Arabidopsis thaliana: one gene and its partners. The protein of the gene in region 3 interacts with the protein of the main gene of each other region in a pairwise test. Each region holds a gene or a part of one and is shown on either strand. Other genes may lie near its edges.

The links.
Region 1: the proteins of TCP16 (region 3) and BZR1 interact in binary tests that used the Arabidopsis thaliana proteins (3 or more experiments, as listed by UniProt).
Region 2: the proteins of TCP16 (region 3) and IAA9 interact in binary tests that used the Arabidopsis thaliana proteins (3 or more experiments, as listed by UniProt).
Region 4: the proteins of TCP16 (region 3) and IAA20 interact in binary tests that used the Arabidopsis thaliana proteins (3 or more experiments, as listed by UniProt).

Annotation. Positions count from the first base shown.
Region 1 is NC_003070.9:28,183,134-28,188,901, reverse strand, and holds BZR1 (Brassinosteroid signaling positive regulator (BZR1) family protein), read right to left. Parts: upstream 3,399-5,768; 5' UTR 3,194-3,398; coding exon 2,927-3,193; intron 2,583-2,926; coding exon 1,839-2,582; 3' UTR 1,757-1,838; exon of another isoform or gene 1,492-1,756; intron 1,456-1,491; exon of another isoform or gene 1,256-1,455; coding exon of another isoform or gene 935-1,255; 3' UTR 856-934; downstream 1-855. Other genes in the region: AT1G75090 (DNA glycosylase superfamily protein), read left to right, coding at 494-635, 714-855, 935-1,255; AT1G75060 (histone deacetylase complex subunit), read left to right, coding at 5,617-5,768.
Region 2 is NC_003076.8:26,251,522-26,257,636, reverse strand, and holds IAA9 (indole-3-acetic acid inducible 9), read right to left. Parts: upstream 4,230-6,115; 5' UTR 3,746-4,229; intron 3,691-3,745; exon of another isoform or gene 3,502-3,690; intron 3,214-3,501; 5' UTR 3,175-3,213; coding exon 2,633-3,174; intron 2,538-2,632; coding exon 2,311-2,537; intron 2,199-2,310; coding exon 2,057-2,198; intron 1,904-2,056; coding exon 1,842-1,903; intron 1,547-1,841; coding exon 1,503-1,546; 3' UTR 1,093-1,502; downstream 1-1,092. UniProt on the Arabidopsis thaliana protein: Aux/IAA proteins are short-lived transcriptional factors that function as repressors of early auxin response genes at low auxin concentrations.
Region 3 is NC_003074.8:16,529,285-16,532,589, reverse strand, and holds TCP16 (TCP domain protein 16), read right to left. Parts: upstream 1,412-3,305; coding exon 914-1,411; downstream 1-913. UniProt on the Arabidopsis thaliana protein: Required during early processes in pollen development.
Region 4 is NC_003071.7:19,305,060-19,309,571, reverse strand, and holds IAA20 (indole-3-acetic acid inducible 20), read right to left. Parts: upstream 1,859-4,512; 5' UTR 1,712-1,858; coding exon 1,339-1,711; intron 969-1,338; coding exon 872-968; coding exon of another isoform or gene 868-871; exon of another isoform or gene 761-867; coding exon 703-760; 3' UTR 501-702; downstream 1-500. Other genes in the region: AT2G46995 (uncharacterized protein), read left to right, coding at 1-104.

The DNA of each region.
Region 1 (5,768 bases), on a different chromosome or scaffold from region 3:
ATCTAAAAAATTAATCTTTTTGAAACAATTTTTTTTTCTAAACAATCAAACAAAAAGGAACGAGGGAGTATATTTTTAAAGAATAAAACAAAATATTAGTTTTTAGGTTTTATTGTTAGGAATAAAATGTTTTACACTATGTAGAGACTTGTTGTCCTTGTCACAACATTTAATGAATCTGCAAAGAATTAAAAGATACTTACCAAATTTCTTCGTTTTTGGCCCCAATAAAATATCTCAATCGACTTTATAAATTGATGCCATGTGAATGGCTTTTTATGGTTTTCGAAATGTAATTTTGTTTTGATAATACGTTAAAGTTAATAAAGGTTACAATCAGTTTTCATAGATGTCAACAACACATTAATTGCACCTAGCAAAAACTAGGTATTGTAGTTGATAAATAAGGACAAAAAAAAATGTAGAAGATGATTGATGACATTGGATATGTAAGTTTTTCAGTTAATAATAATAATGGTGATTGATCAAACAGACCCGATCTATGTTTTGTTCCACGACGAGGAATGGGGTGTTCCAGTTCGTGATGACAAGAAACTCTTCGAGCTACTTGTCTTCTCACAAGCTTTGGCTGAGTTTAGCTGGCCTTCAATCCTACGCAGAAGAGACGACTTTAGGTAAACTTAGGACGGTGAATTTGCTATTTTGTGTTTTGGTTTGGTGTGATATCAGAAGTTTTGGTTTCTTTTTTGTAGGAAGCTCTTTGAAGAGTTTGATCCTTCAGCTATAGCACAATTCACAGAGAAGAGGTTGATGTCTCTTAGAGTTAATGGGTGTCTAATTCTATCCGAACAGAAACTGCGAGCAATTGTAGAGAACGCGAAATCTGTTCTCAAGGTAGGCACTGTGTGTTTTGCTATGAAATTGTAGATACTATGTGTTTACTGAAATAGCTTTGGTTGTAATCTGAAAACAGGTCAAGCAGGAATTTGGATCGTTCAGTAATTATTGTTGGAGATTTGTGAACCACAAGCCATTAAGAAATGGCTATCGATATGGTCGTCAAGTACCGGTTAAGTCCCCAAAGGCAGAGTACATTAGCAAAGATATGATGCAGAGAGGGTTTCGCTGCGTTGGTCCTACTGTTATGTATTCCTTCTTGCAGGCCTCTGGCATTGTTAATGATCATCTCACAGCTTGTTTCAGATACCAAGAATGTAATGTTGAGACTGAGAGAGAAACAAAAAGCCATGAGACTGAAACCAAACTGGATCTGCATTCTCCATTACTTGTTTGATCAGAAACAGGGATTGGACTATTAAGAAGATGAGTGACCAGTGTTTGTATTCGTTATGGAATGTACCATTTGTAGCTAGCTGTGTTCATTGATTATGCTACTATCCTAGCTAGCTTTGTCTAACTAGATATTTGATGATGTGTTAGTGTTTGACCAAAAGATTGATTGCAGGGAAATAAAGAATTTAACATTTTGTAAAAGCAAATGTTTTTGCAAATTTTGGATCTTGATGCTAAGAGACAGAATCGGCTCAAGAAATGATATATGACTAAGCAATTTGACAAGACACAAGACAGTTTCAAGCCACTAATTAATGTAACATATGTAAGGAAACAGAATCATACATCTTAAGATTTTTTTATCTACAAATAATGCTTTTGAAACCAAATTCATGAATTGAATAACCACTCTAACACTCCAATGCTTCCATGGAGAAGGCTTTGGGCAGCATATTTGGATAATAAGTGAAGAACATATGAGATTCCATAAAGATCCAAATACCTGGACGAAGAAGAAAATACTCAAGAGGATTAGTTTCTCATATTCCAATGACATGCCATTTGGGTTTGCCTAGTTGTTTATGTCAACCACGAGCCTTCCCATTTCCAAGTGTAAGCTCAAGATCCTCCATACCCACATCATGTATCCTCTCTCCTTCCCAGGGTTTAACTTGGCTATTCTCAAATTTAAACTCAGAGCTTTGACCAATCTCTTGGAAGGCAGCAGTATTTGGAGACATCTGCTGAGGCGCAGGTTTCACAAGATTGAAGGTAGGAGAGGTTGGCACCATAGAGGCAGAGAATGGCTGTTGTTGTGCAAACTTCTGAAAGCTTATCCAATGACCAGAATCAACAGTGGAAGAGTCAGACTCATCACATTCAGGTATAGTAGCCGGGGTATGAAACTGGTGGCGATGTGTCGGACTAGCAGGTGCAGAAACCGCATAGAAAGGATAATTAAAAGACGCCATTGATTGTTTAGCAATGGCCATGGATTGCTTAGCGATAGATTCCCAGTTAGGCAACGGTTTCGGGTTCTTAGAAGTCGGCGATGAGACCGGTGGGGTAACTGGACAACTGTTTGAGATTCTGAGGGAAGGAAGAGAAGAAGGAATGCCACCATTTCTGAGGAAAGGGAAGAATGTAGAGGACATGTTGTTATTTGGTTCACCGCGAGAAGGACTCGGGAATGATGAAGAAGACGGGCTAACTTGGTAAGATGGGATGGGACTTTGAAAGGCTGATGAAAGAGGGCTCTGGTTCTGTGATGAATATGGAGTTACTCGAGATGAAGTCCCAGCTATCTCACCAGGTAAAGGCTTGCATCCCTGATACTCCAACAAAAGCAAAACAATAACCAATCAAACATCAATCAATCACAGGTAAGCAAAAGAAACACAATGCAATGACTTTGGACCAAGTATCATACATAAAAGATTAAGACTTTAGCATACCAATAATAACTCTAAAATTAGAAAGAAAACCCATAAATTCACTTTGAGAAATCAGATCCATCCATAGTTTCTGATGATTCAAATTCACTTTGAGAAAACCCTCAAATTCTCAGATTCAAACCCATTTAACCACAATTGAAATCAACGAATTCAGATTCAAACATCAAAAACATCAATAAAACAAGCTCAGATCTGGAAAAAATGGAGAAAGTCTTCACCTTGCGATAAGTAGTACCATCTTCTTCAACAACCCAACCAGCTTCAACACAAAGAGCTTTAAGGACTTCATTATTATCACAATGTTTAGGCAAATTATAATCACCTTGAGCTCTAAGCCCAGTGTATATCTTCGCAGCTACAGCTCTTCTCCGTCTTTCTCTCCTCCGATTATTCTCCCTTTCTCTCCACGACGGCTTCCTCCTCGCCGCTGCTGCCGCCGCCGCAGCTGCAGCTGCTGATGTCGACGTAGCTCCATCCGAAGTCATCGGGAAAACCAACAACCAACCCCTCGAAACTTCCGGAGAGAGCTTTGAATAGGTGGGTGAAAGATTGTGTGAACGTAGACTGATGAAGAAGAAGAAGAGAGGAGTGAGAAGTTAGTGCTCACGAGGAATACGCTTTTCCTTCGCTGGAATCGAAGAAGAAGAATCTCTCTTTCTTCTCCAACAAATAATAATATTTTTTTCATCTAATGTAAAAATTGGGTCGTGTGTGTGTTCAAGTACATTGAGTTCATATTAAGAATCATTGTTCTTGTGTATCGATCGTCCACGTGTAAATACATGGTTTTGGAAGGGTGAGATTACGTGAGGTGAATATAAGAGGTGTATGTTAAGGTGCAGAGGATAACTACGCTTAGTAACGTGTGTTTATGTTCTAATCTTTTTTTTTTTCTGTGAGTATGTAAAATGAGTAATGACCAAATAATACAGAGAAAAGAAAGGAGGAGACACAGTGGGACCGTTTCTTCAGTGTGGGTCCCTTACTTGTGTGACCGAAAAACACACCATTTGATTGGTTTTTAAAATTTTATTTTATACAGTGAAGCCGTGTGATTAACATCATAATGATATATTCAATTAAAAATTATCACTTTTTTCTTGCATACAAATCTCACTTTAGAAACAATTTTGACTACTTTTGTCCTGATTAGTTGTATGTACACTGGCTCTCTCTTTTTTTTACCTTCTTCGTACCTTACAAATGATATAAAGATTGGTGAATACCATTTACTATGTTCTATAAAGTATTTAGTTTGGTTACATGTTGATTTTAAGCTTTAGTATCTAATATCCAAATTTTGGATTAATTGCTGGGTCCATCATTATTTATGTATTCATAACCAAAACTTGTATAGTTCATTGAACATAAAAGGAAAAAGGGGTTTACGAGTTTGTCCCATAACAAGGTTCGGCGGCATATATGATGTATGATCATGTAATATTTTTGGATTATGACGTTTATTTTGTAGAAAGTGCAGGAGCATGTAACTAATGTCTTAAAAGCAGAGGAACCCGAACCATCAACGCGAGTTGGGAAACATTTGGAATGAATCAGAGGGTTCGATGAATTAGGCAAAACTAAAGTAATCGCCGTTGCCGGGGATCGAACCCGGGTCACCCGCGTGACAGGCGGGAATACTTACCACTATACTACAACGACTTTGTTGCTAATCGAGCGATTATGTGTTAATTATTGGTGATACGTTTTAAATCATCAGTTAAATCTTAATACCAGCTTTCGTTTCTAGCATTAAAAGGAATTTAGGGGTTTTCTTCTTTGGTTTGGCACTAGTAACCTACTTGTGATAATAAGTAGATTATGTGTTAAGTATGTTTTTTTTGGAAATATGTTCTGTTTTTCCGATTAACTCCATGTTACCTAGCTAACTCGTTTTGGACAATAAGTACATTACTTTAAACCATCAAACTTACAAAATGCTATGTCTTGAACAAGAAAAAATGTTGGCTTAAGAATCACTCCATGAACATTGTTTTAGTTTAGTTAAATGTTCAATATGGACATTATACGATGACATATTTAATAGAGGCGTGATTTCAAATTCAAATTACATTGGAGAGGAACGAAAACAAATAAACAATAGGGGTATAATCGTAACTTACGCATGCATGGGCCCCATAACTCCTGACTTTTTTTTTATTTTGAAAAAACCCAGTCAACCATTCATATTCACGTCGATCGCGTGTAGACATTACACAAAATTTACGAAGTGTGGCCCTCGTTTTCCTTTTTTGATCATTTTAAAACCCTCTAAAAGCATCAATCTCAGATTCCAATACAAATTAGTACCCAAAATGTTTCATACAAATTAACCAAACGTATCCACTCCTTTCTTTTTTGTTTCAATTTCGTTTTTACAAAATCTAAATCTTCACAACCAAGACAAGACAAGTAATACAGTGAATAAAGAGTAAAAAGTAATACAAGTTTTCCAACAAATGAATTCATCTTTATTAGAGAGTAAAAAGTAAAAAAGCTCTCGGTAAAAAACAAAAAAAGGTTTTGGTACCCATCCATGAAAAAACCGCTCAATTTCCACAGTGCAAATGATACAAGTACAAAACACACGTGTTGATACCTTATTGGTCACGATAGGAAGGCGGTCGCTATCGCCTATCGTCCCTTCCCTTCCCTCCTCTGTATCTCTATCTTTCTCTCTCTTACTCATCATAATACACTCTGCTTTTTCCTCTTTCTTCTCTCACTCTTACTCTGTCTTTCTTCATCAGACCAAAAACAAACCCTAATTTCTCAGCTCGATTTCTCTCTTACTCCATTTCTCAATCCTTCACAAAATGCACCAACTTCCATTTCCGAGATCGTAAAAAAGCTTGTGGTACTTTCTGATAATAGAGAGGGAAAAAACGAGAGAGAGAGAAAACACAAAATGCTGGAAGCTCCGGTGAACAAGTCAAGCATCCTCAATGGAGGAGGAGGAGGATTCTCTCAGCTACAGAGTTGCTTCGGCGATTGCAGTAGCGAAGAAGAATTGTCAGTGTTGCCACGTCATACCAAAGTTGTCGTTACTGGAAACAACCG
Region 2 (6,115 bases), on a different chromosome or scaffold from region 3:
ACATGTCATTCCCTAAGTCTATTTCATATATTTAATTTTAAAAACATTGAATATTACTATATAGTTTATCAACTTATATGGATGTATATAGTATGTCCCATTCGAATAAGTGCATCAAAGCGAAACGAATTAAATGAGATTCACGACCAATGATTGTTGTTTATGTGTATACTATTAAGTTCACGTGAAGCTAGCTACAAGAATCACAGATATATACTACATTATTTGGATTAAAGTTTTAAAGTAACAAGAGTGATTTAAATTCGACCCGTAGGTTCTCTTAAACTATGAGAGTACTATATGAGTCTTTAATTATCTTGATCGAATATATGCCTTGGAATTGATTAATTAACGCCTCTTTGAAAAATTGGACAGTTGAATATAACATTTCATTTTAGGTGGGGTTTAATCATATTGTTTTGTCAACGCTAACGGAATTATTAAAAATGAACAATAAATGATATCACAAAAATAATTTTCATAAAACAAATAAGCAAACCACCATTGCCAAACCCAAAGAGGCGCACTATGCTTCCACCTTCAGGAACAGAAAAATAATAAACGTTCCTTGAATGAGAAATGGGAAATTAGTATATGGGAATTTATGTTCATGTATCTTTGACTATTTTTCTCTCAAACGATATTATTCGATACTATTAAACTATAGTTATTCACTAAATCTAAAACTGATTCGTTGAAATTTATGATATCTTCGTTTGGGGATTGTACTATATAGTTATCATGAGTTTGTACGCAGCCCATGCTTGCTAAGGTAAACAAAGTTTCATGGAAGGTTAAAAAGTGAAATAATGATATCAAAACCTTTTCCCGGCGAAATTACTTTTATTTATCTTTGATTTGTCTTGTAGCTTTTGGTTCTTCAGGTGAATTATTCAAGTTGGTTTAAAGATCCGTTGGTGGCAATGATTTGGTAGCACAGTTTAGTTATGACAGTTATAAAAAGATTTTTTTTTCTTTCTGATTAATCTTGATATTCCATTTAGAATAGAGTCATAGACATTGAGAAAAACGTAGGTTTACCACTTCCGCATTCAAATGTGTTAGAATTTAACAATCCACCTCAAAGATTTAAGTACTGATTAATATTTAAGATTGTTTTGCAAATGCAGAAGAAGAACCTCCATGTTCAATGATAGAAAGCCAAATCGTAAAACCGGATTGTCTATCTTCTCTTCTCGAGAAGAAGCAAAGAAGAGAATAACAAAAACGTTACATCAAATAATATCTCAAAGGTAGAAGTCAACCACACATCCAAATCAAACACAAAACATAAAACAACGACCAGTTTACTGACTAAAGCAACAAACAAACAACAAAAATAGATCATTTTTAATTCTTCTTCATTTCCTTACATTCGTAGTCTTACTTACTTCATTTTAAAAATTCAGAAACTAAAGATATTGATGTTTTGAAATTTAAAAACACCACCAAAAGATCGCACATATTTTGTATAGTTAGAAAGCTTTGTCATGTTCCATCTTTTAAGCTCTCATCTTCGATTTCTCCATTGCTCTCGGAGCTGCAGCTGCAATATCACCAGTTCACCACATTGAATCATTAAGACATTTTGAATCAGAGAAGACGAGTGATCAAACATGAATTGAAATCAGTTTAATTTCGATTTTATTTACATGTTAATTTGTTGTATTTACTCCCAAAAGAAGACGAGTGATCAAACATGAATTGAAATTTCTAAATCAGCTACAAGTAACTCACACCAACAAACCACTAATCTCATCATACACACTACTTGTAATCGGTTTTAGTAGAGATAGTAGTTTACGTTGTAGCTTAGGAGCAGAGAGAAGAATAGACTTTACCTAACCCAATAGCATCACACCCTTTCATTATCTTCAGCTTCTTGCAGACATCAATAAACATCCTGTAATATACATCGGATCAGAAATCACTCATGAGCGCTTATACCAATCACCATGATATAATCTTCTATGGCATGTTAGATTTGATTCTAAGATATCTGGCAGAGAGTAGAGAAAGCTTCTAACAAGTTTTGAATATAAGAGAGGAAACTTACTCCCACGGAACATCTCCAACAAGCATCCAGTCACCATCCTTATCCTCATAAGTGAGCACATAGTCTTTTCCATTCAAAAGATCCTTGAGCTTGGTCTCACTAAGCATATCCTTCCCAGCAGCTCCATTAGATCCACATTGACCTAAACATCAAATAAACAGTGCAGGTTAACTACTTTGACTGCACTCATTCATTGATCCTTAAATAGAAAGAGGTTTTCAAACACATCACTAGCAATCACTGAAACATCTCACCAAGAGTGAAAGTGGTGAACATTTTCTCCAAGGCTGAAGAAAGCTCCCCGTAGTTAGTGTAGCTCCTCAGGTCAACTTTCCTCAGATAAGGAGCACCATCCATACTGACCTTCACGAAGAGAGCCCCAGAACCTGGCCTCCCATCAACTTCGTCACTGTTCTTACAAGTAGTGGCCAATGTGTTCTTCCTGTAGGATCTCACTGGAGGCCAACCGACAATTTGTGCCCTGAAAATTCCAGAATCCGAAAAAACACCAGTTAGCTAGCTGTTGAAAGTAATCCATATCAAAATCGAACGAATGCTCCTATCTTCTATTCATACTTGGCTGCAGGTGGACTAGAGCTATTGTTTGTAGTGCTAGACTGTCCTTTGGGTATGTTTTGTGGCACATCTTTCTTTGTTACAGACTGGGTGGCTGCTGCTTCAGGGAACATCCAGTTTTTCTCAGTATACACTGAACTTTTAGCTTCAGCAAACTGATCCATTGTGTCAGAAAAGCCTCTTTTGTTTCCCGATGCATTGTTCTTTTGCGAGGAGGAGCATATCTCATCTTTAGAAGGAAGCAAAGGAAAGAATGGCTTCTCATCTAGCTTTGCTGGGCTCAAAAGGTTAAGCTCTGTGTCTCTCGCAGGAGATTGTGATCCAGGAAGACCAAGTGTCAGCTCCGTAGCCTTGAGGCTGATAGTAGCTTTGTCATCTTCAGCAAGGGGAGAGAGAGTAGAGCTTCCAACAGAAGAACAATCAGAGAGACCCAAGTAGTTATGCTCTTTAAGTCCTCCTAGAGTGTTCCTGGAGATGCAATTGCTAGTAGGTGAAGAACTAGCCACCGATACATTGCTCTGTAGCTCCTCTTCCGGGGACATTGGATACTCAAGGTTTCTTTAACTGCAAAGCTGCTTTACCTGATGATTTACACAGCACAAAGTCCTCCACATTAAATTCACATAACCATAAACAAATCCTCAAACAAAACCCTAAATTACCAGAAAAAATCAAGAACTCAATTTCAATCAAAATTCGAAGAAACTCGAAACCGTATCAATTAGGGTTTCAAAAGTAGATTGCATCTATGAAAAACTCACAACCAAAATTTAGAGCAAAATAAAGCTCAATCTGAGAAAAAAATGGAAAGCTAAAAATAAATAGAAGTCAACTTAAGGTCAGATGAAGAAACTACACCGTTGAGTTACATTTTTCGAGCTGATCTCAGATTTGAATTTCCACAGAATTCTATCTACAAATCACTAAACCTAGCAAGGTTTAAGCCAACAGCTCAAACAAACCAAAATTCGCCATAGAAATAGTGAGGAAATCAGCAAAGAAACTCAATAGCTAATAGATCTAATAACTACTAACTACACACACAAACAACAACAAGCTAAAAATTACCGGATTTGAAACTATGTATAAGAAGAACAGAGAAGACATAATTACCTCAAACGGAAAAAACAAATCCTGGATGAAAAATGGAAGCTCACAACGAAGAAGAAGAAGACGATCAAAAATAAGAGAGTCTGAGATATTTTGGAGAAGAAGAGTATAATTTTTAAGAAACTGTAGAAGATGAATAGCAAAGAGAAAGAGAGAGAGAAGTGTCAAGGTCCTTCCATTAAAGCAGAAAAAAGCTTAATTATCATTACCCAGAAACTCGTAGCCGAGATTAAAATTAAAATAACTAAACAAAGTGGTAGAATAGAAAATAAGTGGAAAAAGTTGCGTATTTTTATTTACGAATGGATTCTAATCCAACGGCTCAGATTTGATCGTGCTGATAATTCTAAACCGTCGGATTTAAATCAGCAGATATGAACCGTTGATGTACAAATGTCGGGAGTCGGATCTTTAAACAAAATTATGCCACTTTTCTGGCTCCACCCGAAAGGGGATGGTTGTCTGCAAATATTAAATTCCGATTCTATCCTTTTGTTTTTAATGACTAATGTAACCTCTATGTGATGATAATGTGATTGAGGAATGAAGGGTAAAATGGTAAAGAGAGAAAAAGAGGAGTGAGGAGGGGACAAGAAAGCGGCATTCCAAGTCGGTTTGCCGGGTGGTGAATGGGACATCTAACCTCTTCCACTTTCTTCCTTTCTCTCTCTATCTCTACTTTATTAATCTAAAATTAATTAAGACTTGTTAATCTTTTTTTATAATCACTTTCTTTCTTTCGGATTAAATTTAATTAAATTCCGCCACCTTCCTAATTTCTTTAACTTTCATTATTACGTTTCCTTATCTTTCAATTTTTTTTACTTAGATTGGCCCAACTGGATGGGGCCCATTGAGAAATGTTAGTCCCCCCAAACTTGAATTTTTCATTTTGCTTTTTTTTTTTGGTTTGGCATTCATTGTAGTCTTCTAGATAGATGAATGGGTAAATAGTATAAGTAACTTTAATAATGACTATAGATTAATCTTTTTCATAAGGTTACGTCACGTGCTAGATTTTTGTTTTTTATTTTTGTTGAATTTGCACTTAAATAAGTAAACTGATTGAAACAAAATTATAGTCATGACAAAAATTAGATACATACAAGTTTGTCCGAATTGAGTTTAAAAAAAAAATCTCATTTTTTGAAAGTATAATTTGTGGTGTTATTGTTAGAAGTACAAAATTTGAATGTGAACAACATACATATTTCTGGAGTATTAAATATGTCTGAATTGCACTGTTACGATCATCATACACAACGTTTAATCCATAGTAATAAGGATGATTGGTTAAAAAGTAAAAAAGTAAATTCGTTGGTAATAAACAGGTAAATTATGTATGTTAATTTTTATAGTCGGTTACATTCTTTTCGTGTTAAAAAGAAAAAAAGAAAAAAATTATAGTCGGGTGTAATATACATAAAAAAAATTACTGTAAAAAATTCAAAGTAATTAAAAAAGGAAGGTAATGGGAATTGGGGAAAGGGGAGCATAATAATAACAAAAGGGGTGAAATGGGATTGAAGAACACGCATGGGAAGCACAAAATATCTCAATCTGACCGTAGGATTTGATGGTAAGAGAGTAAGAGAGGCCTGTGTCCGTTCATCATCATCATGACCTTCTCTGACTCTTTTTTTTTCATCATCACTCTTCCGTACCACTCACGTTATCTCTTTTTTACCCCTCTCTATTCTTTTTAACCTTTTTTCTTTCCTTTTACCAAAGATTTAAAGACGATTAATCAAAAAAAAAAGTCTTTAACACCTTATGCACAAAGAGGAAAGTAAAAGAAAAATATTCACCGTCCAGAATAATAATACGGCATTTCTTAACCTTCCCCGTAAAAAGTTTTGATTTTCTCTTTCTCATATTTTGTTTAATCGTCTGTATAATAAGTAAAGGATATTAATTATTTCAAATTACTACAACTACCATCAGACATTATATTTAAAATTATGAGTACATGAAAATATGTGTCTAATTAAAAAGTGATTGGTAAAAAACAATAATAGTAATACAGATAAATTATTACAAAAATGCAAAAGTAAACAGTAGATCAGATTAGCAGCATTTGCGAGTACAAATAATGCGGGTTGAGACAAGACAATGAGACCCGTAGTGCTTTTGTCCTTCACGCTTATTTTATTAGTCTTTGATTGATGATGGATTCACTAAAGTTAATTAATCTTTTTCCCCGTAATTAATTAATTTATAATTAGAGTGGAGGAAATCAAACGACAAGACACGTTAGACTGTTTACTTTGGGCCCAGACTTTGCACTCTAGTATATAAAAATTCATTTATAATTGGGCTTTTATTTCATATTATAACATAGGCCCATAAGCCACTATCCTTCTTGATGGGCCA
Region 3 (3,305 bases):
ATAGTATTTTTCTCTAAATACATATTAACCAATCTATAAAGTAAAAGAATTTAAGGGAAAACTATTAAAAGTTTATTAAAGTAATTTTTATTTACACAAAAATTAGTTTCTTATTCTTTAGATTTAGTTTTCCTTCCTTTTTTTTTTCTTTTTTTTTCCTTGAGAATCTTGAAAATAATATATATATATATATATTAAAATATATATCTGTGTATTAAGAAATATTAAAATAGATGTATGAAGCTAAATACAGAAACAAATCTTAAATAATTATTGTCCAGCTAAGTGTGAGCTGGAAATTTCTTTAACAGATATAAAACCACATTCTTACTCAATTGTTCCTTTTATTATCTCTTTAATTTATTTATATTATAGTTTTTGATATCCGTTTTTAATTAATGTTTTCATAACCGTTGGAACCTTTAGGTTCGAAAGACAAACGAATTTTGACAAATTAGAAAACGGAAATAAATAACTGTACATAAAAGTTATGTTTCGGTAAATATTATGACAGAATTATTTATTCTAGAATACCAACGAAATTGTTCGTGTCCAAAAAAGAAAAAATGAATCAAATTTGTTGTGAAGAGTTTAATTTAATCCATTGTTGAAATCAAATTCTCTACTAAACTTCAAACATGGACAAACAGTTTTAAATTACATCTATAATTAATTTTAGGTATTATTATTCATCTTAAAAAAACATGAGCATACAAGAAAAAAAGACAAATGGATACCGATCGAACTAAAACAAACCCTAGTTCAACTCTCAAACTGAAAAACATGAAGAGGAAAGAAAAAGCAAACAGAAACGAACTAAAACGTCCAGAACTGAACACTCTTAAATCTCCAATATTTATTTTAAAGACTCCAAATTGGCCTTCTCAGCGACGCCGTCTCCTCCTTCACAAGCTCAAACTGTGGTTGTGGCTGTTGTTGTTGCTGCTGATGTTGTATCACTGGCGGTAGCATTACCATTAAAGGTGGAATTGTAATTATCACTAATAGTACTGTAATTAGTTGAAGGTGCATGATCTGTCATTGTAGAAACCGGAAACACCATCTGACGATGACCAGTATTTACAACCGTACAAGGGAAAACGTTATTACTAATATTATCACCATTAAAGGTGTAACTAGGAAAATTCCTATTTGGCTGGATATCTTCATTGGAGGTGGTGGTGACACCATGTCCCGTGGCTGCGAAAATGGCAGGCTCGGCATTCTGGAGGAGCCAACTGACAGTTTCACCATCGGTTTTAAAGCCGAGTTCTTTTGTCAATCTAAATAGTTGGGGAGCAACACTCGGCGGGATCCGAATGCGACGATCACGGCCACCAATTTTCAAATGGCGGTCTTTTGGAGTCCTTCTTGCCTTTTGGCTGTTGTTAATTCCATTTTTCGAATCCATTTTTCTCTGTTTTTTTTTTCTTTTTCTTTTGTAAATGGAAGTGGAAAATATGTTTGTTTCACTTGGATTATATAGAAACGTTACAGAAAACTCTATTTCTATTTATGTTATGTATGGAAAACAATAATGGTGTAACAAACTAATAATTAAACTAATTGGTAAATAGAAGAAATCTTAAATTTATATAGGTATATTTGAGAATGAAATATTATCATGTAATATAATATGTAGTATAGAAAATATATTTAGTGGACCTGAAAAAAAGAAGTTATATTGGAATAATTAATTGATAGGTCCACTAAAAAAAGGAAAATAAACCTTTCTTCTGGCAGTTTACAGAAATTATTATTTACTGATACAACTGTACAAGTATAGTCCTATTTTATCCTATTTTAATTTTTTTAAAGTTAAGGTTTTAGTTTTTTTCCTTAGAAATTAATGATATTCCAACATTGTTATTTAAAATATTATATTGTTATTTTTAAACTAGGTGTTTGGATAGGAGTTCGCATATTTTTTTTTGGACGGTTAATTTGTTCTTCAGATATTGTCTATTTGTTTATTTATCAAACTATATTTCATTTAGGGTCAAATTCCCCGGACTATCAATTCTGAAAATAGAGATTCAGACTTAAAAATATATATCCAGAAAATTCCCTTAAGCTAACCCATTCGGGATAAAAAGTTTTTGAGGCTTAATCCCACCAGATTCAAGCCGGCCTAAAAAAATTTTAATTTTTTTTTTTACTTTTCTTTTGTTAATATTTTTCTTTAATTGGAATATTTGTTTTTGTTTTTTTTAATAGTATTGAAAACCCTAAACCTAGTTTTTCAATTGTGCCTTACTATAAATCTAAAAAACAAATCTTGGCTCGACTGTCTAGATTAAAATCTTCTGATTTTATATTTTATTTGTTATGAGTTTAAATAAAAAAATTAGATTATTTTTTTTGATTTTAAACCTTTTTTTTTGAAAATAAACTGGCTTTCATGGTTATTTAAATTTCAACTGATTTGTTTTGTTCATATATCCATCTTTCAGAAATATTATAAATTATAAATTTGTTTTTTTCTGGAAAGAAAAACATAAAAAACCTGGAAAAGTCTTGTCCCTGTTATTACCAGATCTTGAAATATAAGTTCAAATTTTTTTATTTCAAAATTTTTACTAACCGAACCAGACTAAATAAAATATATTCGAATTTTCTGGACTTTGTCAGACTGGACTAGTCCAATTGACATGTCTAAACTATTATAATAAATTATTTGTATGTAAGAAAATATATCCAAGTAAAATGATGGGTTACAAGACAGATGGTTTAGAAATAACCTGATATCATATTACCCGACTCTTACACATACTTTGTTTTCTTAAAACGGATAAGAGTTGGATAACATACTGTATATTGTTTGGTCAGCCTTACTGTTTTCATTTCCAAACTGACTTTTCAAATAAAGAACTAAAAAAAAGTCATCACCATCATTTTGAGCATGTTTCTATAACTCAAGCGGAACACTTTTAGAATTCGTCAAATCAAATATATTTTGACTCATTTTAAATCAAATATTCACTTTTACGAGAATAATTAACGAATTCTATCATCATTGAGCTATGATTTCATACGTATACCTTATAATTTAGATTATACTCTAAATTAGTGTGATGTTAAAAATTCAACAAATATTTAACCCTCAAACACTTACCGAGGTACTGTGTAAATGACTTCTTACATACTATTGAGCGTTCGAATTAATTGATCAAATAGAGATTTGCTTTTCAGCTATTTTTTTTTTTTTTGAATTACTAAGAGGTTTTTGGGATTTTCAGCTTTATCTGTTTGAGATTAATATAGGAGACAAAGGAGCATTTGTTTTATTCATTTTATCAAGAAGA
Region 4 (4,512 bases), on a different chromosome or scaffold from region 3:
TAGAAGCGATTTGCTCCGTCTCGGTCTCTGTTTTGCTTGATCCGGAAGCTATGATTGGAATAAACAGAAACCCTATATTTTGCGTAAGCCGAATACTTTTGTGAGTTTTAAGTTGCATTATTTATAGATGGGATCGAACTTGGGCTTAATCAAAGGAGAAGGCCCATTTATTTCCAAAACACAAAGTAGGAAATATCAGGTGGGAATTTGTTGTTTCCCCTGCCTCCTTCCTTGTATATATCAAATGTACATTGTGGTCAAATCGATAATCAAATCCAAAAATTCTTCGAAAATTTAGAAGTTGTCTCTCGACATTAATTTGTCGCTTGGTTTTCTTGACTACTAGTATTTTCTGAAACTGGACTACATCCTATTTGACAAACAAAAGAAAGTACATCCTATAATTTTATTTATAAAAGCATTCAACTAATTATATAAATTCAAATATCCAATGACCAATGGTCTGACTGGTTTAATGCACTGAAACATGATTGTCGATCGGATAATTGTTTTTTCCTTTTTTTACTATTTTTTTGTGTACTACCGAGAATAATCAGAGTGAGTTCAAGATTTATGTACTATCTATCACAAAAGAAAAATGAAAATAATATTATAAATATCCGACCATTGATTTACATCAGGCAAAAACTTTTTTCTTGGCATTACTTCGATTTAAACACAACAAGTACGTAGACTTATATATCAGTAGTGGTAATTAGCTCTTGAAATCTTCAGTCTTCTCACAGTAGACAAGAACATCCTGCAAAAAATCAACCCACAAATTAAAAATATATATAAGGATGATCATATAGTTAATTTTCTGCATAATTAACAATCTAATTATACAAAAAAGGATGAAAAGAGTGCTTACTCCCAAGGAACATCTCCAACCATCATCCAGTCACCTTCCTTATCTGCGTACGTTAGCACGTGACTCTTCTCATTGCACATGTCTTCTTCTTCAGCCCCTATATATTTCCATTTTTTCAATTCCCATCAGTTTTCATCATTTTTACAATTTACCCATTACACAGTACTTACACACTGCGCAATATATAAACTCTACCTACGGAATAATAACTCTGACATATAACGTTATCCAGATTTTTTTTTTGACAAACAAACAAACAACCTATGAAATAGTGATGGGCGATTATTACGGCGATATTAACCTTCAAACAAAAGAATAGTAATGAGCGGAAGTATTTTTTCATTCCGTAAAAAAAAAAAAAAAATCAAAACGGACTTATAAGAAAGAAAAAAATATCGTTAGAAATTTGCTACCTCTAAGACATATAAATCATTCTGATATGACATTATGTATACATAGAAACTTACAGAGAATGGATGCGTTGAACATGAAATCAAGGGTTCTGATCAAGTCGCGGTAGCCATTAAGAGACATTAGATCGATCTTTCTTCCAATTGGAACTCCTTCCATGTTCACTTTCACGTAAAAGCTCCCTACACTGTTACACTCATTCTCTTCTTCCTCCTCCACAGCCGCCACATATTCCGCATCCTCTACCGCCGGAGCTGCAACGGAGTACCCATAGCCACCGTTGAAATATTGAGTCCCTGAGGATGTCCCGAAGCTGAGTCCGAGTCTCAGGTCCGTGCTTAGGTTTCGAGTACTTGACGAAGCACCGAATGGGTTGCTCTTGCTGCTACTCTCTATTGAAGAAGACGATGAACTTCTCCCTCTTCCCATATCTCTAGCTCTCTCTCTCTCTCTCTATCCTTTTTATAATAATTTTAGGTTAAGACAAATGAGTAATGAGCCGCCATGCTTGGTTTGTACGTGTGTGTTTATATAGAAGATAAAACTAGGACTTGTTTTTATTTTATTTTAAATTTGATATGGTCTTAATTCGTATTTTTGTTCAAAGTTCACACAAATAAAAAGCGACGGTGGAATGATGAGACAGCGTCCGCTAAAAATGTTGTTAGTGTAGCAGACCAAAACACGTGTCAAACGATGATTCGATCAAAGTGTTGGTTATGATTTTGTGGGTTCGGTTTCTCGCTAGTTAATGTTTGATATCTAACCCCAAAAAATAAATATATACATTTAGCTGTTTTGATGATATGAAGTAGTATTAAAGTTAATATTGAGAAATTACATCTTCTTAATCGTGTTCAATGCATGAAAGGTTATCGTGACGCGCATTGAGGCGTTTGTGGAACTACATTACTTCCCACATTTCCAAAATTAATGTGTTTTCATATGACCTCGATACAATTAACACTTTAATCAAACAAATTATTTTCGGAAAGTGTTTGGGTAAATGCTTGCTTAGTAATCGGATTAACACTTCTTTCTTAAGTTAATTAGGTATAGTTCTTTACTTCTGTTTAACAAAAGTTATGACGAAAGTTACGATGTGGAGTTGTGGACCCATCATATGTATGCAAGCATGACAAATGTTTGAGCCTACGATGATTCAAGTCCAAGTCATTATTAACCATAAAACAATGCGATTTAGTTCCACCAGATGATTTGAATAATCAAAACCCCCAATAAGTAAGTCTTAGACCGATTTTATTTCATGTAAAAAGAAGATAAATCTCATTTTTGTTTCTTTACAATTACGTTTATTCGAAGCTTAGACATAAAAAAAAATTAGTCAACTACTAAACAAGTTGTATCAGCGCTGCCATAATCGGTCTAAAACGGACTATTCCAAACCGGTAAAAAGTGCCTATATAATGATGTAAATCATACGTAATATATTTGCGAAAGAGAAGTTGTTAGACGTAATAATAACTAAATAAATAGAGAAAATTTGAAAATTGAAAAGAAAAAAAAAAGCGAAGGAAGAGAGGGGGCATGAGTAATGAATGGTTCACCTTAAAGAGAGGACCTAATGAGAGTTCCTTTGTCTATGGAACTTAAGGAGACGTCACATTTCTCATATTTGCAAGCACGAGAAAAAGGAAACACACACACTCACGACACAACGACCAACGACTATATTTCTTGTCATTACCCACGTGGCATTTTTGTTTCCACGTGGACTCCCTCAACCACAACATGTACATTGTACAATGGATGCGTGCCTTATGGTAAAATTATATAATTTCATTGAAAATATAATATAAGAATCAAATTTTAATGGATGTGTGCTTCGTGACGAAACTAATTTCATTTCAATTCATCAAACTTCGTTATTATAATTTCATCCTTCACAAAATAACACAACGTGCAAGCATAGTGTAGCTTGGTTTGGATTGAACCATGTAAGCAATTAGAGACATATACGCACTAGAGTTGAAACCGGCTTGGTTCCCTCGCTTAATTCAGGTTTCGATATTTCAGTTTGGAAAAAATGTACTAATTAGTTGGAACCAATTGAGTTTTAGAGAAATATTGAAGAAACAAAAAAAAAATCAAGAGAAAAAGGATAAAGGAGAGATGTTCCCTAACAACACTACAAATTACAATTTCCTCACTTTCTTATTTTCTTACTGCCTCCGCCTCCTCTCTGTCCCCTCTTTTCTTCCATTATTTTCATTTGCATCTTCTCTTTATTTCTTTGCAACTTTAATCTTATGATATGTAAATTGTAAATATACTCATTTTTTTCTATATTGAATAAAAAAACTTTTGTTAGAAAAAGATACACATATACGATATTTCCTCAAAAATAATATGAAGTACTGATTTTGGCAGTCATTATAGAATTGCATTTTATTGGAAAGATACACACATAGTTCAAGTACTTTATATATGCGCTAATTTTGAGAACTCCACTTTACTGCGTCGTGGTTGCTTGTCAGTCAAAACTTGGGCTTGCTTTTAAGATGCGTGATTGCATTTGCATGTCTCGTGGCTTTCTTTTTCTGTAGCCCCTCTTGTTGGACTAATCATAGCCTTTTGTTTCCTCCCTTTGCTTTAACATTACTGAAATTATCGGATTGTTTCTTTCATTTGTTGATTGGATGTATGTTTACATTATTACATGTGTATTCATTGTTATAATATACAAGTTTTAAAACATTACTTCCCCTACCAAATAATTTCAAATATATATATATATATATATATATATTCATGAAGCATTTTTTATTTTATTTTGGTTTAATGAAGCATTAAATTTTGAACTTGCTTATGTTACTTTTATGATATTGGAAGAAGTCGAATTATTTCTTCGTTGATATCGTATATAAAATTTAAAACTCATAGAATTTCTATTCAAAAAGTAATTGGTGATTAAATGAATGGAGTGCCTATATATGTATTTTTTTTTTCTTGCAATCAATTTTGATTTAGAATTTGCATGCATGATATTTTTTTAATATTTTTTTATCCTTTAATAATTTTTTTTTATATTATCTAAAGTTGTATTTGTATTCCTTACATAAAGTTTGGTTACTTTCATCTCTAAGGTAAACTGCTAATATTAAAGAAAGTAATTTAATGGAAGCAAAAAGTGTTAAAATATGTAATATAATTTGAATGGAAGAGTAGCCCCCGAGGGCAATCAAGTGGAGGTCTTCCATGGTTAGGAT